3 linked regions of the Drosophila melanogaster genome follow. The protein of the gene in region 3 interacts with the protein of the main gene of each other region in a pairwise test. Each region holds a gene or a part of one and is shown on either strand. Other genes may lie near its edges.

What was found.
Region 1: the proteins of CG17650 (region 3) and Ubc6 interact in a two-hybrid assay, tested with the Drosophila melanogaster proteins (one large-scale study listed by BioGRID).
Region 2: the proteins of CG17650 (region 3) and CG14803 interact in a two-hybrid assay, tested with the Drosophila melanogaster proteins (one large-scale study listed by BioGRID).

Annotation. Positions count from the first base shown.
Region 1 is NT_033777.3:4,948,203-4,954,214, forward strand, and holds Ubc6 (ubiquitin conjugating enzyme 6), read right to left. Parts: upstream 4,481-6,012; 5' UTR 4,295-4,480; coding exon 4,251-4,294; intron 2,551-4,250; coding exon 2,265-2,550; intron 2,203-2,264; coding exon 2,077-2,202; 3' UTR 553-2,076; downstream 1-552. Other genes in the region: Jhbp3 (juvenile hormone binding protein 3), read right to left, coding at 5,406-6,012. UniProt on the Drosophila melanogaster protein: E2 ubiquitin-conjugating enzyme that accepts ubiquitin from the ubiquitin-activating enzyme E1 and transfers it to a E3 ubiquitin-protein ligase. Required for postreplication repair of UV-damaged DNA.
Region 2 is NC_004354.4:1,866,865-1,872,960, reverse strand, and holds CG14803 (uncharacterized protein), read right to left. Parts: upstream 4,039-6,096; coding exon 3,719-4,038; intron 3,664-3,718; coding exon 3,083-3,663; intron 3,018-3,082; coding exon 610-3,017; 3' UTR 553-609; downstream 1-552. Other genes in the region: Pgam5 (phosphoglycerate mutase 5), read left to right, coding at 55-366; Pex5 (peroxin 5), read left to right, coding at 4,037-4,174, 4,247-5,953. UniProt on the Drosophila melanogaster protein: Involved in recombination-dependent repair of stalled or collapsed replication forks.
Region 3 is NT_033779.5:1,757,766-1,760,738, forward strand, and holds CG17650 (uncharacterized protein), read right to left. Parts: upstream 1,329-2,973; 5' UTR 1,288-1,328; coding exon 1,168-1,287; intron 894-1,167; coding exon 636-893; 3' UTR 521-635; downstream 1-520.

The sequences.
Region 1 (6,012 bases), on a different chromosome or scaffold from region 3:
GTTTGACTGCAGTCAGATGTAAAGCAATTTTAACACAAACTAAAATCAATTCGCTGAAGTGAATATGTAACTTGGTCCTGTACTCTGACTTTGAAACCGTGCCTGTTCACCAAATCTTTTATAAAATTAGTTGTTGAGCTTTTACTCTGAATATATAAATTTATTTATACACAGTATTATTGAAAATAAGTCCTGTTGTATTATCATAAACTTGGAGAATTATAATTCAATGGAATTTAAGGCGCACAATTTATAAATAACGGTTTGATTTTATTTTGTTTTCTTATTTTTCGGAAGAATTTTAAAATCTGCCCATGCACTCCCACTACCTGCGTGACGGATGATGATGTCGTAATGCTTCTTTTTAATTGGTTGGTACGAATTTAGGAGCACACTATAGTTGACATTTTCTTGGCAGCACTGTCACTTTCCTCCTAATTACAATTGACTTTTGGACAATTGATTTGGAGCAACCATTTTAGCTCCAACTCGACATGTTGTAAGGGGAGTATAAAATAGTTCCGTTAAAATTTAATTTAAACAAGGTGTACTCGTGTTACTTTCATTTATTGATATTGGAAATCTTAACTTTATTAATAATAATAATGTTAATTACAGTAAGGTAATTTGAAATTCCACATTGTCTGAATCGGTTGCTAATCCTCATTCTTTGATTTACTATTACTGTGAATTGAATTGGGTTACTGTCTCCTCTGCTTTAGTTGGTTCATAGTTAATAAAACAATATGCTGCTATATGGTAATTTTATCATATATATGGTTAACATGATGCTCAGAGCATCCAACACAAAGTGCCAAAAAGTGGAGGGTTTATAGCAAAAGGTACAGCAATTCGCATTCAACAAAAAACATGAATAAAAGTCGATTGTAAACGCTTAAGAACTAACTAAATCAATTGCCGCAGCCAAGACACAGTGGAACCTAGAGAGTACATAGCGTGGCAAATGGCAGTTAGGAGATGTTTTCATCCCACTTTACACTGAAAAAAGACCCCGCTCAAATCTCTTCTTGGGCCATCATAGCTGACCAAATCAGGGTGTAAACTTGAATGAGGCCAAGGATAAGATCTTAGAGATAGGGTAAAAGTAAAGCGTCGGTCAGCCACCAAAATTATCGGGCAAAATACATAGAGCATTGGTCAATGGAAGCTACCGAGGAATACATGCATATATATTTGCTTGCTTGTTCCCAACTTGGAGACTTGTACCATGTCACATACCGTGTGGATTGGTTTACATTGCTAAAAACTAACATTTAATTATCAATTTCTAGTAATTTCACAATTTGTAGCCAATAAACTTATAATTCGATCTAGGTAGCATGTGTATGTTTATGTTGGGGTTTGGTAGATACATATAGTTCACATAAATGACGACACTGGACAATTGTTTACTAGGTTTTCAAGCGGATTCAAAATGTATGTTTCTTGTGTACGTGTTTGCTGAGCCACGAACTACTACAAATATTAATTTTCGTTTAGGCATTGGTTGAGTTTAGTTTTACAGGACTGGGTTTGCGCGCATCTAAAATGAAACTATTTGACATTGCAATCGCTTGAAATGGTTTTTATAATTTTTGTTTTATTATTAAACATTATTGCCGCTGCTTTTTTAAATTAGAACATTTGAGTTTTTAGCTTATAAGAGTCTTATTTCTGGCTGCCGGCGCAACTAGCGGCTGCATCCATAGAGGACTTCCTAATTTTTTAAGTGAATTGCGTCTGCCTTCGGGATCGGGTGATCGGGCTGGGGACAAGGTGTAACTATTGGCCAAACAAATATAACTCAAAACTGCCCAGTATTTATGGGTTGCGAATTGTGTGCGCAGGGTGTATATATGCTGCTGTGCCGTGCCGTTGGCGGTGTTACAATTTCATAGCATTACAATTATCATAAATATTTCTGTTATTATTTAATTTAAACTTCTTTATGGTATTGCATATTTCTGTTACTGTAGTTTGCTGATGCTTTAAGCTGCGGTCGCCTACTAAACTGCTGCCGCTCGTTTTGTGGCTCCGGCTCCTGATGCTGCTGCTGTTCCTAAAGTGGGCGCATGGCTAATCGATGAAACTCTGCTCAACGCAGGCTTTCACACGCTTCTCGTACTCGCGCCGATTTTCTTTATACAGCTGGGCGGCGGTGGAGTTAGCCGGTGAGTTGGGATTGGGATCGCTCAGCAGTGACTGGAAATCAGAAGCATACACATTAAGCTATAGCTACTGGATCCAGAAGCAGAGTAACTCACCTGTATGGATGTTAATATGGCTGACACATCGTACGTGGGACTCCAGCGGTTCTGCAATATGTCCAAGCATATTCCACCATCTGCGTATACATTGGGATGAAATACTTTCGATACAAATCGAACCGTTGGCGGTTTGTTTGGGTACTCTTCCGTAAATTCTATGGTTAACTTAAATGTTCCGTCTTCGAAGGGTGTGTCGTGTGGACCAAAAATCACAGCATTCCATATCATAATATTATTATCTGTTGGAGCACCCGAGACACCCGTAGGTGGATCCTCTTGAAGTCTGCAGGTAAGTATCAAATTAAAGTGTTGTAAATAAATAAGTTAATGCATATTTGTTTACACAAATATACTATTTATTGTATAAATTCCAATTGAGGCGAAAATAAAAAACTCTACCTTAACATTTGCCGACTAGGTTGCAATGTAAAGCTAATAATTATTTTTTATCTTCTTGTTGTAATTGTCTTTAGTTAATGATCTTACGAACAATGTGCTTGAAACGTAAGTCTTTAATCGTCGCAAGAGTTGACGGTCCCGTGGACACCAAATTCTGCCTATTTGTATACATATTCCGCAACACAGAAGAAACCAAAAGCAACGGTCAGACATAGAGTGATGAAAAACAATCTAAAAGTTACCTGGCCGGGATTGGCTGCGATTTAGGTCAGCTAGCGGGCGGCGCAACCCGGTTAACCGCGCCCTTCAATCGGCTTAAATCGATACACGGGCCAAGTGAAATCATCGATTAAACAAGCTAAGAAACGCGACAGTGCACTGGGAAATAAGATATGCAATATCCAAGTCTGAAGCATATTTTGAAATTTATGAACTTGAAAGGTCAATTTTGGGCGGTAATACGAGCTATTAAAATAACTTGTTGAAAATGTTCATAATTTATTTATAGGTATCCAATGATGTGTAACAGGTATTTTCTAATGAACTCTTATCAAAAACTAGACTTCTAAAATGGAGTCAGTTTCGATTCGCATTACGATTTGAATATTGCATTCCTGATGAAACATTTTCGCAAAACAGAATTTGTGTTTCTCAAACTAATCAGTCCCGAGTACTCAATAACTATACTAGATTCGGACCCCACAAAGTATAAAATTGACGATGTTATTTTTTATTTTAGTTTCGAAATTTCCACTTCGAACTCGTTCTAGCTGAGTAAGGGGTATCTGATGTATGCTGTCAGATATGCTTCTGTGCAGTTGCTCTGCCTCTTGGGGTGGTACATTGGAACTTTGCCGGGGGGCAGGAGCCCGCGCCCACGCAAACAGCCTTGACATTTGGTTTCGTATTCCTCAACTGCAATCTGCACTGCAGCGCCAACTTTCGGGATGATGAAAGTTTCGAAGCCGAATGAAATTCCAATAGGAGCGCTTCGTCTCTTTCGCGTGAGTCAACAAGGCTGAGTGCGAGCGAGAGGGGGTAGCGGGCAGGATGCAGCTGCCGAGTCAGGCGGATAGAAACGTTAATGTTTTGCTGCGACGCAATTTCGGCAACGGCGGAAGAAGAATGTTGTTTGGTTTTCCCAATTTTCCCCTTTGTTTTCTTGCTTTTACCCCGCACCGCGCGCGAACACACACACATTCAGATCAAAGTCAAGTGTCAAAGACAAGCGAATTGTTGTTTTTCGCACGAGCAAAGCAGCGAAAATAATCAACCACTCACACACGCACACGCACACGAGCATGGGCACATGCACACGTACATATTTTGGCTGCGCAAACTTTTCCACTACATACAGACGTGGAGCACAGTCATATATACGTGTGTCCGTGTGTTTGCTTATATGTATTGGGCAGCCCCCAGGTTTCTTTTCCCCAGCATTTTTTCGGAACGAGAAACACGTAAAACGTAAAATCCAACGGTTGTGTGTACTTTGCCATTCGCTCCTTGCCTTCCTGTTTTCCTTTGCTTTCGTTTTGTTTGTATTCTTTTCTATTCGCATTCGATTCCTTAGTTTCTTCTCACCTTTTAAAATCTCTCATAAGACGTCTGCGTGCGGGTGTTGACATTTTTCACAGCGATACTACCACTCGTGTTGTGTTGGATTTGGAACTCGGACGCCTGGGCAATGCGTTGCGTTTAGCGAACGGTAACGATGAAATTTTGTAATTTATTTTTAATTGAGGGCAAACTCGGGCAGCAGTGGTATAGAGCTGGAACGAAAACCGATGTTTCCCCGATACTATCACGTAGAGCTGGAGCTCAAATCAATTTCGTTGCACAGAGCTGCCACCCAGCCAGCATTGAGCGTAAATATGAGTTGCCAGAGGTTGCCAGACCATTCAAAATACGTTTCCTATTGATGTTTTTTACGAATAGGAGTTTTCGAAGTGTAAGTTTAACACTGCAGAAAACTGATCGAAGTATTTGTAAACCAAAATTAATTTGAACTTTAGACAACCTGGGTCCGATTGCAGAAAAATTTTACAATTGAGCGACATGGCAAAAACAAGAGGTATTCCTCTAAAACAGGTGACTCAAGAAAAATAAGAATTCTATTGAATGTCTCCCTTTCTTTCGTCCTTGCTAAAAAAGCTAGTTACGTTTTATCATATTAAATATTAGTATAAGCAAACATAATTTTATGGTAGTTCCAATAATATTTATAAACTGAAACTACTAAAAATGAAATGAAAATCAAAACACCAGTTTTGTACCAAAGTTATGATATCTAAGAAAAGCAAGATAAAGCTTGACTATCAGATACCCGTTAATCCAACTTGGATTGCGAGGAGATGAAGATTTAGAAGCCGGAAAGCGACTCTTGACCAAATCGGCCAAAAATTTTATTGTGGGCGCGGCATACCGATACAAATCTGCAAGACTTACATACATACATATAATAAAGAAATAATCCAAACGTTTTTCAAAATCGTAATAGTTATGGGCGGCTTGTGGCCAAGCAGCTTAGCTGCTCCCGTTGATACTAAGAAACGGGTATCTGGTAGTCGGGAAACTCTCCCAACAACGATAATCAAGACATAATTTCCTTTGACGCATTCAATTTCAAATCTATTTGCGTAAATTTCTAAAATTTATTATTGAATATTTAGGGACTAATTATAACAAATCGAGTGTATCACAAGCTTAGATTTAGCCTAACTACAGTTAGCAAGATTATTAGACGGGGAAAAGCTCGCTGTAGGTGAAGTTCTCAAGGATTTTGGTCGTGATGACCAGAAACTTGGCCTCCAGGGCGCGGGCAATCGGTGCGATCAAGTCGTTGGTGAAGACCTCGAAGTTTTGGTTGATCGTATCATTGATGACATCGCCCAGAACCTTGTCTCCGTTGAAGAGGTTCTCCAGCTTCAGGTTTCCCTTGCCAGTGCGGATCTTCAGGACGAACTCCTTGACATGCAGGTATTCCAGATCATTAACACTCTTAATGTCGTACTGGACGCGCACATAAGCCACAAAGTTGGTGAAGTTTCCAGTGAACGGCCCATTGCCCTTGATCGGCAGTGCCAAAATATTGCCGTTGATCTCGTAGAGCCCATCGCCATGGAGATGGGGCAGAATCAACTCGAAGTCAAAGCGTCGGTTTTGGGTGGAAGCCCGCAGCTTGGTGATCTCAAAGTTGGAGGCGCCCAGGATGTTCAGCTTCTTGGCTTTTACCGTGAGCCCGGCGGATCCATCCAGAATGCTCAGATCTCCAATGTAGAGGGGCTCTAGCGGCGGTACGTTCAGTTCCTTAATGCCCTTGGCCAGATAGGGTCGCAAGTTGTGA
Region 2 (6,096 bases), on a different chromosome or scaffold from region 3:
AAGGGTCAACCCAGTGCGTATTCCACATGATATTCGGCTTTCATTTCACTGCAGCAGTTCCTTCGCGACGGATCGCGCATAGAGGCCGGCTTTCGCCGATACTTCCACCGCGCCTATCCCGACCAAGAGAAGGAGAGCTATACCCTGATCGTGGGACACGGCAACGTGATCCGCTACTTTGTCTGCCGAGCCCTGCAGTTCCCCGCCGAGGGTTGGCTACGGATTAACATTAATCACGCTTCCATCACCTGGCTGACCATCAGTCCATCCGGCAACGTGTCCATCAAGTACCTGGGCGACTCCGGCTTTATGCCCGCCGAGCTGCTTACCAATCGCATACCGCGCGACGTCAAAAACGTGGTTTAGCCGTCTGTTTATAGAACTGCCCAAAGGAGAAGCAATCATAATGTATTTATTTCCAACACTTTAACTGAGACCTTGAGCACAGATCGCGAGACTGTGTAAACCACCATGTACATTTTGCCGCACCGTAACGTATATCTCTTAAGGAGGAATCATTGAATCTTCCGACTGAAATAATAAAGATTTTATAGAATGCCTAACATTTTATTGAGAATCCTTATATGTACAAAAGAAGCCATGAGGAGCCTAAACCCTGCTCAAGACCTTTTGGAGTCGCTGCAAGCACTTGCGTATGCCCACATCTTCTCCAGCGCCGCGTTTTAGCTCCACCTGCTCTGCCTGCTCCCTTATAAAGGATAGGATGGGAGCCACTAGATCCGGCGCCAGCTCTGCCAGGTTGATCAGCATCTGGAAGTAAAAGTAAGTGCAGTGGGCCAGGTGCTTTTCGGCGAGGGATCGCAAGTGATTGGAGCACATATCCCTGACCGCCTGTGATCGCTTGTAGGCATCGTGCGATATAAGCACTTTATAAAGTCCAAACACTTGGTTGCGACTGAGGTCCACTTCGTCCACGAACATTACGTGTTCCAGCAGCGGGATGTGCACGCCGCGCAAAACGGTTAGCAGCTGTTCTTCCTGCTCTTTGCCAGTGCTCTCTATCAGTTGCTGCATTATAGTGATCACCAAGCCCGCATGCTGTCCTGCCCTCCGCCGCTGGACCACCAAAAACTGGGTAACGAGGAGCTGAAGCACAAACTGCGCCAGCTCTCCATCTACATCCGCCTGGAGGAGGGTGGCATATGGACGGGCCACCAGCTTGGCGTTGGATGAGAAGCTAAAGTGCGGCGTCCAGTGCTGAACTAGTTGCTCCAAAGTCTTGGCCACGTATGCGTCCGTGCGGTAAGGCAGTCGACCAATGCCTTGCAGCAACACTGGGAAAATCTTGTGAACCACTTGTGGAAGGCGACCTTCGGGCGGCACTCCTGCCTGCAACTGCGTGGTGAGCAGGAACCGCACCATGGCCAGGTGGAAGAAGCAGCTCGGCTTGGATCGCACGTACGCTAGAGTGGAACAATTATAGATGACAATGGCTAGGAAGCTGTAGAACCGGGAACCGAGTTCCGATCGGCTTCGATCCGGGGGTAGCCATAGCTCGAAATGATTTACATAGGCATGCAGTTTGTGGCTCAACTGCATACGGACGTGGGCAGCAGCCTCCTCTTGCTGGGCACGCCTTCCCAGAGCTCCAAAGAAGGCGCAGAGAGGCTCGCGCCCGCCCTCCAAAGAGGTGGGATCAATGGCCAGAAGTCGGAACTCCTCTAGCTGTGTGACATGGGGCATTAAAGCCAATACAGATTCGTGTTGTGCGTTTAGGAGGACCAGAGACTTCACCCAGACCTGAAGAATGGTGGAGCTGGCAGGTCGCCCTCCGTCTTCCAACACCTGGAGCAACAACTGAGCAGAAGCAGCCATATTGATGGGTTCTGGTCCCTGCAGGAAGCCCAGTAGCAGTTTGTCCCCATTATTCTCCAGGGCGATGAAGTTAGCCGCTAGCTTTGGAAGCCATGAGCTATGGCTACTAACGTATTGGGTCCTCACCAGTGGCATTATGTGCTGTTGAAGTGCCTCCTTGATGCCACTCGCATTGCCAGCCACAGCTCTCCGCTCGCTGAGACGGAGGATTAAATTGTGAAGCGTCTGCCATACGCGATCCTGCGATGCCTGCCCACACTTTTCGACGTAATGTGCCAGCCATGGCCCGAGAAGCTGCTGCTCGCCGCGGTTGAAGTCATCCGCCAGATTAAAGATGGCTTGAAGGCTGCCCACATAAATGGCGCCCACCTCTGCATCATTGCGAATGGTGGCCAACTGGTTGAGCAGCTTGCTCACATAGTCATCCATAGATAGGCGATGCTGGGCATGCAGAAGCAGCAGGGCCATGTGTCCCTTGGCCACGAGAATCCTTCGCACCGGAGGCAGTTTTTCCAGGGCCAGGCAGAGCAACATTTCGCGCAGCTTGGGCGCCAACTCGCTGAGATCTTCGTGGCAGAGCAGCAGGCACAGAAACAGCTCGATCACATGGTGAATACCAGGCTCATTCAGAGCCAAAAGTTTCGCGGCACTAAACTTGCTGAATATGCGGCCGAGTAGTTTCTGACGTTGGTTGCTTCTGCCCTGCGATGGTAAAAGCTTCAAGGTTTTGCCCAGCATCCACGCGTACATGGTGAAACTGCTCAGATTCAAATCTTCTATATGCGACTTAGACAGCAGTTTGTTGTAGCGATCGACGTAGGCCGACCCATTGGAACAGGTAAGCGGCAGCTGATCTAGCTCAGTTCCCACACTAAAATTGCAGTTGAGGGATCGGTGAAAGTACTCCCACAGCTGGCACAGGACATCAGTATCCGGCTTGCCCAGCTGCAGTTGAAGGGGAGAGAGTTGAATTAGGTAGACCCGCCGCTGCTGTTCGTCCGGCTGGCTCGCCAGAAATTGCTTAAGCAGACTGGCAGTTTGGAAGCTTTCTGGTGCCGCAGTGAGCGGCGAGTGATCCGGCTGGTACCAACCCTCACTGTTGTATTCGTCCAAGCGGGCCAGTCCTAGCCTCAACCAGGAATAGAGTTCGTGGTATGCCAGAGAAATTGCATTGCTCTCACCTCGAGAAGAAAAACGACTATAAGATGAGGGGAAGCCGCACGGTCTAGCTTCTTTGTGCACTCACCCTGGAAGTGGAGTGACTTGTGCCTCTGCATGGCCTTGTGGAATAGAGTCCAAAAGTCTAGCTCCCGTTCTCCCAGCCATTTGGGAATAAGACGTTTCAGCAGCAGCCACAGCTCCTTGTTGCAGCGACACATGAACGGCGAGGAATGGATGAGCTCCGAGCGATGTTTGCTGCGGTAGTGATGTCCAGCACAAACGATCAGATCGTCGAGTGTGCGCTCCAGCTGCCCTAGGAACGCTTGATCATTCCCAGAGGCGTACAGTATATGCAGGTCCAGAAAACGCCACTCCAGTACGCCGTGATACAGGTGATACGCCGGCGCCTGGCAGTCGTTTCCCTTGTTGTGCTCCGCAAAATACAAAACCTTCCAGGTATCCGCATCCAGCTGATCGTTGAGCAATTGTCGAAACCCATCAAGAAAATGTGAAGGCAGCAGCTCATTGCCTCGTAGGAGCAGCATCAGATGGTAGAAGTGTGTGACCTGCTGGCGCACTCTATACCAACCAGAGTTCATAGAGGCGGCCGTGGCCTGCAGGTGTTGCTGGCCCATCACGACGGTTAACAGCTTCTGCACATTCTTACTGAGAATGGAAGAGTTGTACTTGTTGGCAGCTGCCAGGGGAGCTCTAAACTCACCAGGCCTCGCCGTACAGGTAGTTTCTTACCGCGCCAACCGCTAATTGAGCCGGAGCAAAGTCAAAACAGAGATAATCCAGGCGAGAGCGGGGCGGATCCAATTGGGCGTAGCCATTCCCCAGAAAGCCTCCCTCGCACAGTTGGCTCTTCAGAGTGTCTCGGCCACTGCAGTTGAACTCGGGCAAGTGTAGACCGTCGACTAGGTCCTCTTCGCTATCGTCCACGTCTATTTGCGCGCTCAGGGTTTCCTGCTTCTGTGTCGCCTGTATGAAGGTAGCCAGGATCTCCTCGTCATCCGACTGAAAAAGGTCGTAGTCCATGGTGCAGTCGGGGATTTGGCGTTCGAAACCAATTCTCTGGCGGATAAGATTTTGCGCGGCGATATATTTTATTATTATTAGAGCGCTGTGCAACACTGTCACAAAGCCGATAGCTTCGATAACGGCCGATAAACAGGTAATCTTTGTGACATTTGGACTTTTGTTTTGGACCTGATTTGGCCCCTTTTCTTATCGTTGGTTGCCCCAGTTACGTAGCATCTCCACTTCGAACACCATGTCTTTCCGCCCATTGGTCGAGGGCGACTGCGGTGGAGTTAATCCTCTCATGCAACTGGGCGGACAGTTCACCCGCGATGTTGCCCACAAGGATGAGGGCTATGTGCAGCGACACTTCGAGCGCGCTGCTCGTCCCGAGGACCAGTTGATCAACGAGTTCCTGGGACAGGTCACTGCCCCACCGCAGTCATTTCAGATGGACACTCTGCTCCAGGAGATGCGGGACATAAATATTCACGGAAATCCGCAGCAGCAGATGCACTCTCAGCAGGCGGAGCAGTGGGGACAGGACTTTGCCCGCGGACTGGCACCCGCCCTGCCCAACAAGATGATCCACATGCAGGCACAGCAGCAGGACCTGCAGCATGCCCAGGAGTTCTTCGACGAGCCCCTGATCAGTAGCCAGAACTTTCGGTCCCTGCCGCCATTGCGTCAGCCTTTGATGCCCATTGCGGCAGGACAGCAACAGGACCCCTTCTTTGACTCCGCCATGGAAACTATAATCACAGATCATCTGCCACAGGCGCCACAGGGGGAATCGCTGGACGACTGGATCAGCGACTACCAGCGCAGCACCGAACAAAAAGAGCAAACCGCCGCCAACTTCAACGAAAAGTTCTGGGAGCGGCTGCAAGACGAGTGGCAGAAGCTGGCCGACGAGAACGAGCATCCGTGGCTGTCGGAGTACAACGACAATATGGACGCTTATAAGGAGTACGAGTTCGCCGAGGGCAACCCCATGTCTGATGTGGAGAACCCGTTTGAAAAGGGTAAGGAGTACCTGTCCAAAGGGGATATACCCAGCGCAGTTCTATGTTTCGAGGTGGCGGCCAAAAAGCAACCGGAGCGCGCTGAGGTCTGGCAGTTGCTGGGCACTTCGCAGACAGAGAACGAAATGGATCCCCAGGCCATTGCGGCACTTAAGCGGGCTTACGACTTGCAACCGGACAACCAACAGGTCCTGATGGCCCTGGCCGCGTGCTACACCAACGAGGGCCTGCAGAACAACGCCGTGCGCATGCTGTGCAACTGGCTGACAGTGCATCCCAAGTATCAGCACCTGGTCGCAGCCCATCCGGAGCTGCAGGCCGAGGGCACTTCGTTGGCTTCGTCGCTGATTGGTCCGAGTAAGCTGCGCGATCTGCAGCAGATCTACTTGGAAGCCGTTCGACAGCACCCTTCGGAGGTGGATGCCGAAGTCCAGGATGCCCTCGGCGTGCTCTACAATCTATCTGGGGAGTTCGACAAGGCGGTGGACTGCTACCAGTCCGCTCTGCAGGTGGATCCCCAAAATGCGAAGACATGGAACCGATTGGGGGCCAGTTTGGCCAACGGCTCGCGCTCCGTGGAGGCGGTGGAGGCTTATCAGCAGGCGCTGCAGCTCCAACCGGGCTTCATCCGTGTGCGTTACAACGTGGGCGTATGTTGCATGAACCTTAAGGCCTACAAGGAAGCTGTGGAGCACTTACTCACAGCGCTTACCATGCAGGCTCACACTAACGCCGCCCGAGAGCTGCCCAATGCGGCGATGGCGGCTACCTTTAGAGGACAGAACCAGATGTCCGAGTCTATTTGGAGTACGCTGAAGATGGTCATTTCGCTGATGGGCCGCAGCGATCTCCAGAGTTATGTGAGCGATCGCAATCTGGCGGCTCTTAATGAGGCCTTTAAGGATTAACCGCCCCGCAGCTTCTTTATCACTGCTTTGGGAAAGTCCGTTGTTGTCGTGTCATGTGGGTGTGTAAGGTTGAATTTGAGATATTTTTTACTCTGGCAGTGTAATCATTCCCTCTCGGTTCTTTTCTGTAAATTTGTATATTT
Region 3 (2,973 bases):
ATTACAGATTCCACTATATATCAGAATGTACTAACATATGTTCGACCATTTCCCAACCGCAGTTACTATTATTTGCACCGCGAGTGTAAGCGTGCTTATGTGCGCACAAATACTCAATCTCAGACAGAGCAGTCATATAAAATGCAATTCACAAATGAAGATTCATGTCATTTTCCTCCGCTCTCGACGTCTGCAGGACATAAATCAATGCATCCTGACACAAACTGGACGTCCTGACTTTCGACTGCGGAAACGCACTTCGCCCGCTTTTCCAACATTTTCCATAAGGCAATTTGGCAAGCTCGTTAAATGATTTCAACAGGCTCGCCTGGCAAACTGTGAGTTTTGCATTTAAAGTGCCCCATTGCCATTCGTTTCACATTGCCATTGCCATCAAATGTGTCACATGAGCAAATTGTGTGTGCACAAGTTAAAACTCACTTAATTATCCGAATGACGCTGCGCAAATTGCAATTAAGCCTCGCACACTCACCTGTTAACAATTAACAACGCTAGTTTTGGTAACAACTTACATGGTAATCAGGGCTTTACCAATACATTTTATTTAATATTTTTTGTGAGAAATCTCTGAAGGAAAACCCAAAAGCAACTTCTATCTCTAACTAGAATTGCTTTTACTCTTGCGCTAGTTTTTCTATTAGTTCCGAGTGCCAAAGGTTTTCGAGTCGCTTTTGGTGATTTCGCTGAATGCTCGCGATTATCTCGCGGTTCCCGGAAGCCAGACGCAGTTGCTCGTGAATGGAAATATTTGGCAGTGGTTGGTTGAGGTCGGGAAAGTCCTCGAAGTCCATGTCATCTCCCAAAGATGCTCCGAATATCTTATTGTAGTTCGATGAGTTTAGTATGGGACGCTTGGCTTCGAATTGTTGTTCCTTTTGTTTGTAGGATGATACATATAGAGTACACATAAAAACTTGAATGTTATTTAATTACCAGGATATAAATATTCATAGCTGCGCAGTTACTTATTATTATTTGTCAGAAAAAAAACACGTTTTGAATAAGAGCGCATAATCATGGTAATAACATACACATACTAATTACAATAAATCAGCATAAGTGCTTTTTTGGTTAGCAAAAGTTGATTGAAACATGTGCTATGCACTTAATTATGGCTTGGTAATTTATTCGGAAAACTTCACTCACCTGATTTTTCCTTGTGCTGCAGTTGAAAAATATATTATCAAGATCCCTCCTGCGCCTATTGAAATCCTCCTCGCTCTCCATGGGATAGTCATTATAAACGATACCTACCAAATCACTCATTTTGCTACGACCTGACTCTTTTCACCAATTTTCCAGCATGTTAAACTATCGATGATAAAATCAAGGGCCTGCTGAGAGGCTTCGATTAACCAGGGCTACCAGCTCATTCGTGCAAAATGCATGTCCATCAATCCAAAACAAATTAGCACTGCCCACTCATCCCAAATTCAGCTAAAAGCCTTTTCACCTGACGAAATCCTCGGACCGAGGCACTCGATTATTTACGTACTAAATGCAGATAAAGTTCCGTTTTAAAGGCTTCTATGCGGGAATCCGGACTGCGGACTACGGACTACGGACTACAGACTACGGACTGCGAACCTTTCTATGCACTTTGCTGGCGGACCGAAAAATAAAATTTATTTACAGTTTCCCTTGCCGGAGGATGTCGAAAAACGGAAGCTAGTGGGCGGGGATTTTGCAGTGGGGGCGCGTTTGGGAAAACTCAGTCACGTTTTGTGCAAAATGGAAATGGTTTGGAATTTACGGCCAAATACTCGGCCAGCAAGTACTATAAAAAATGCGAAGGGCGGCAACCCTAATCGTCGTGAGGGACTGCTCTTTTTTGCCATTTTGCCATTTTCGGGTAGGCCTAATGAAATTTTCGCTTTATGGCAAGTGCAGTCGGGTGAATTGCAGCTGAAAGCCTTTCCTGTCAGCCGGGGAATGTTGTTTCGAAATCACATTTTTTTCGGGTCCTTTAATTTGAGTGCTGCACGGAGTGGTACGTACTCCCCCCCCCCCCCCCCACCAAACTTCCACACCCAACAACAACATAAATAAACAATGGCTGTAAACCAGCTGATATGCGAGCCGTTTTTACAGGCTGACCAAGTTGGTTGATGTTTTTTTCTTATTTTATTTTGCACCTCCTTGGCATTTTATTGCCGCCCTGCCTGGTTTTCCTGCCATTTCCGGTGCGTAAGTTTATTTGTCACAATGAAACGACACCAGCATGTCCTGCAAGTCGGAGAAGTCAGCTTGAATTGCGGTGGCAAAATAAGGGGACATGCGAATAAAGGATTTCCTTCTGCGGCCGTCAGCGCTTAAACTTTCATGGCTTGATGCTTTAAGTTTAAGTTGACTCAAGAAATTATGTCCTTGAGCCCATCTAGTAAGCAAGAAATGAAAAGGAACAGATGGGTATTGTATAGAGTTCTTGCTCCCTTTCGGGCCAAGATCTGTTCTTCAAATACTATTATTTGTAGCTTATTAAATATTCCTTTTTGCACATTTTGCAAAAGTTGCTGCCACTGTTCAAGGGAACAATGAAAAGTTCAACTAACCATGACTTTGGGGCTACAAAATGCCCGGACAAGCTGTACACATTAAGTTTCAACTTTGGCACAACACCAACACACTGACACAGGTGTGACCCGAGTCAACTACTACTCCTCAACCACCAACCCCCACCCCCTGGGGCCCATTACCCCCCACCCTCACCTCTGAACCCACAAACATACTAAAACACGCAACAAACCAAAGCCACCAACAAGTCAACAAAAATGGTTGCTCTTCGTTGGTTTGCATTTTCCGCTTTTGTCGACGCTTTTGCAACTTTTGCTGTCACTCGGTTTTTTTTTTTACCATTTTGGCCAGGATTTTAATTTCATACTTTATGCAGGCTGTTGGGGTATTCAAGCTGTTCCATAATGAAGCCAGCTTCTTCAGGCGGTTAAGCAGCGA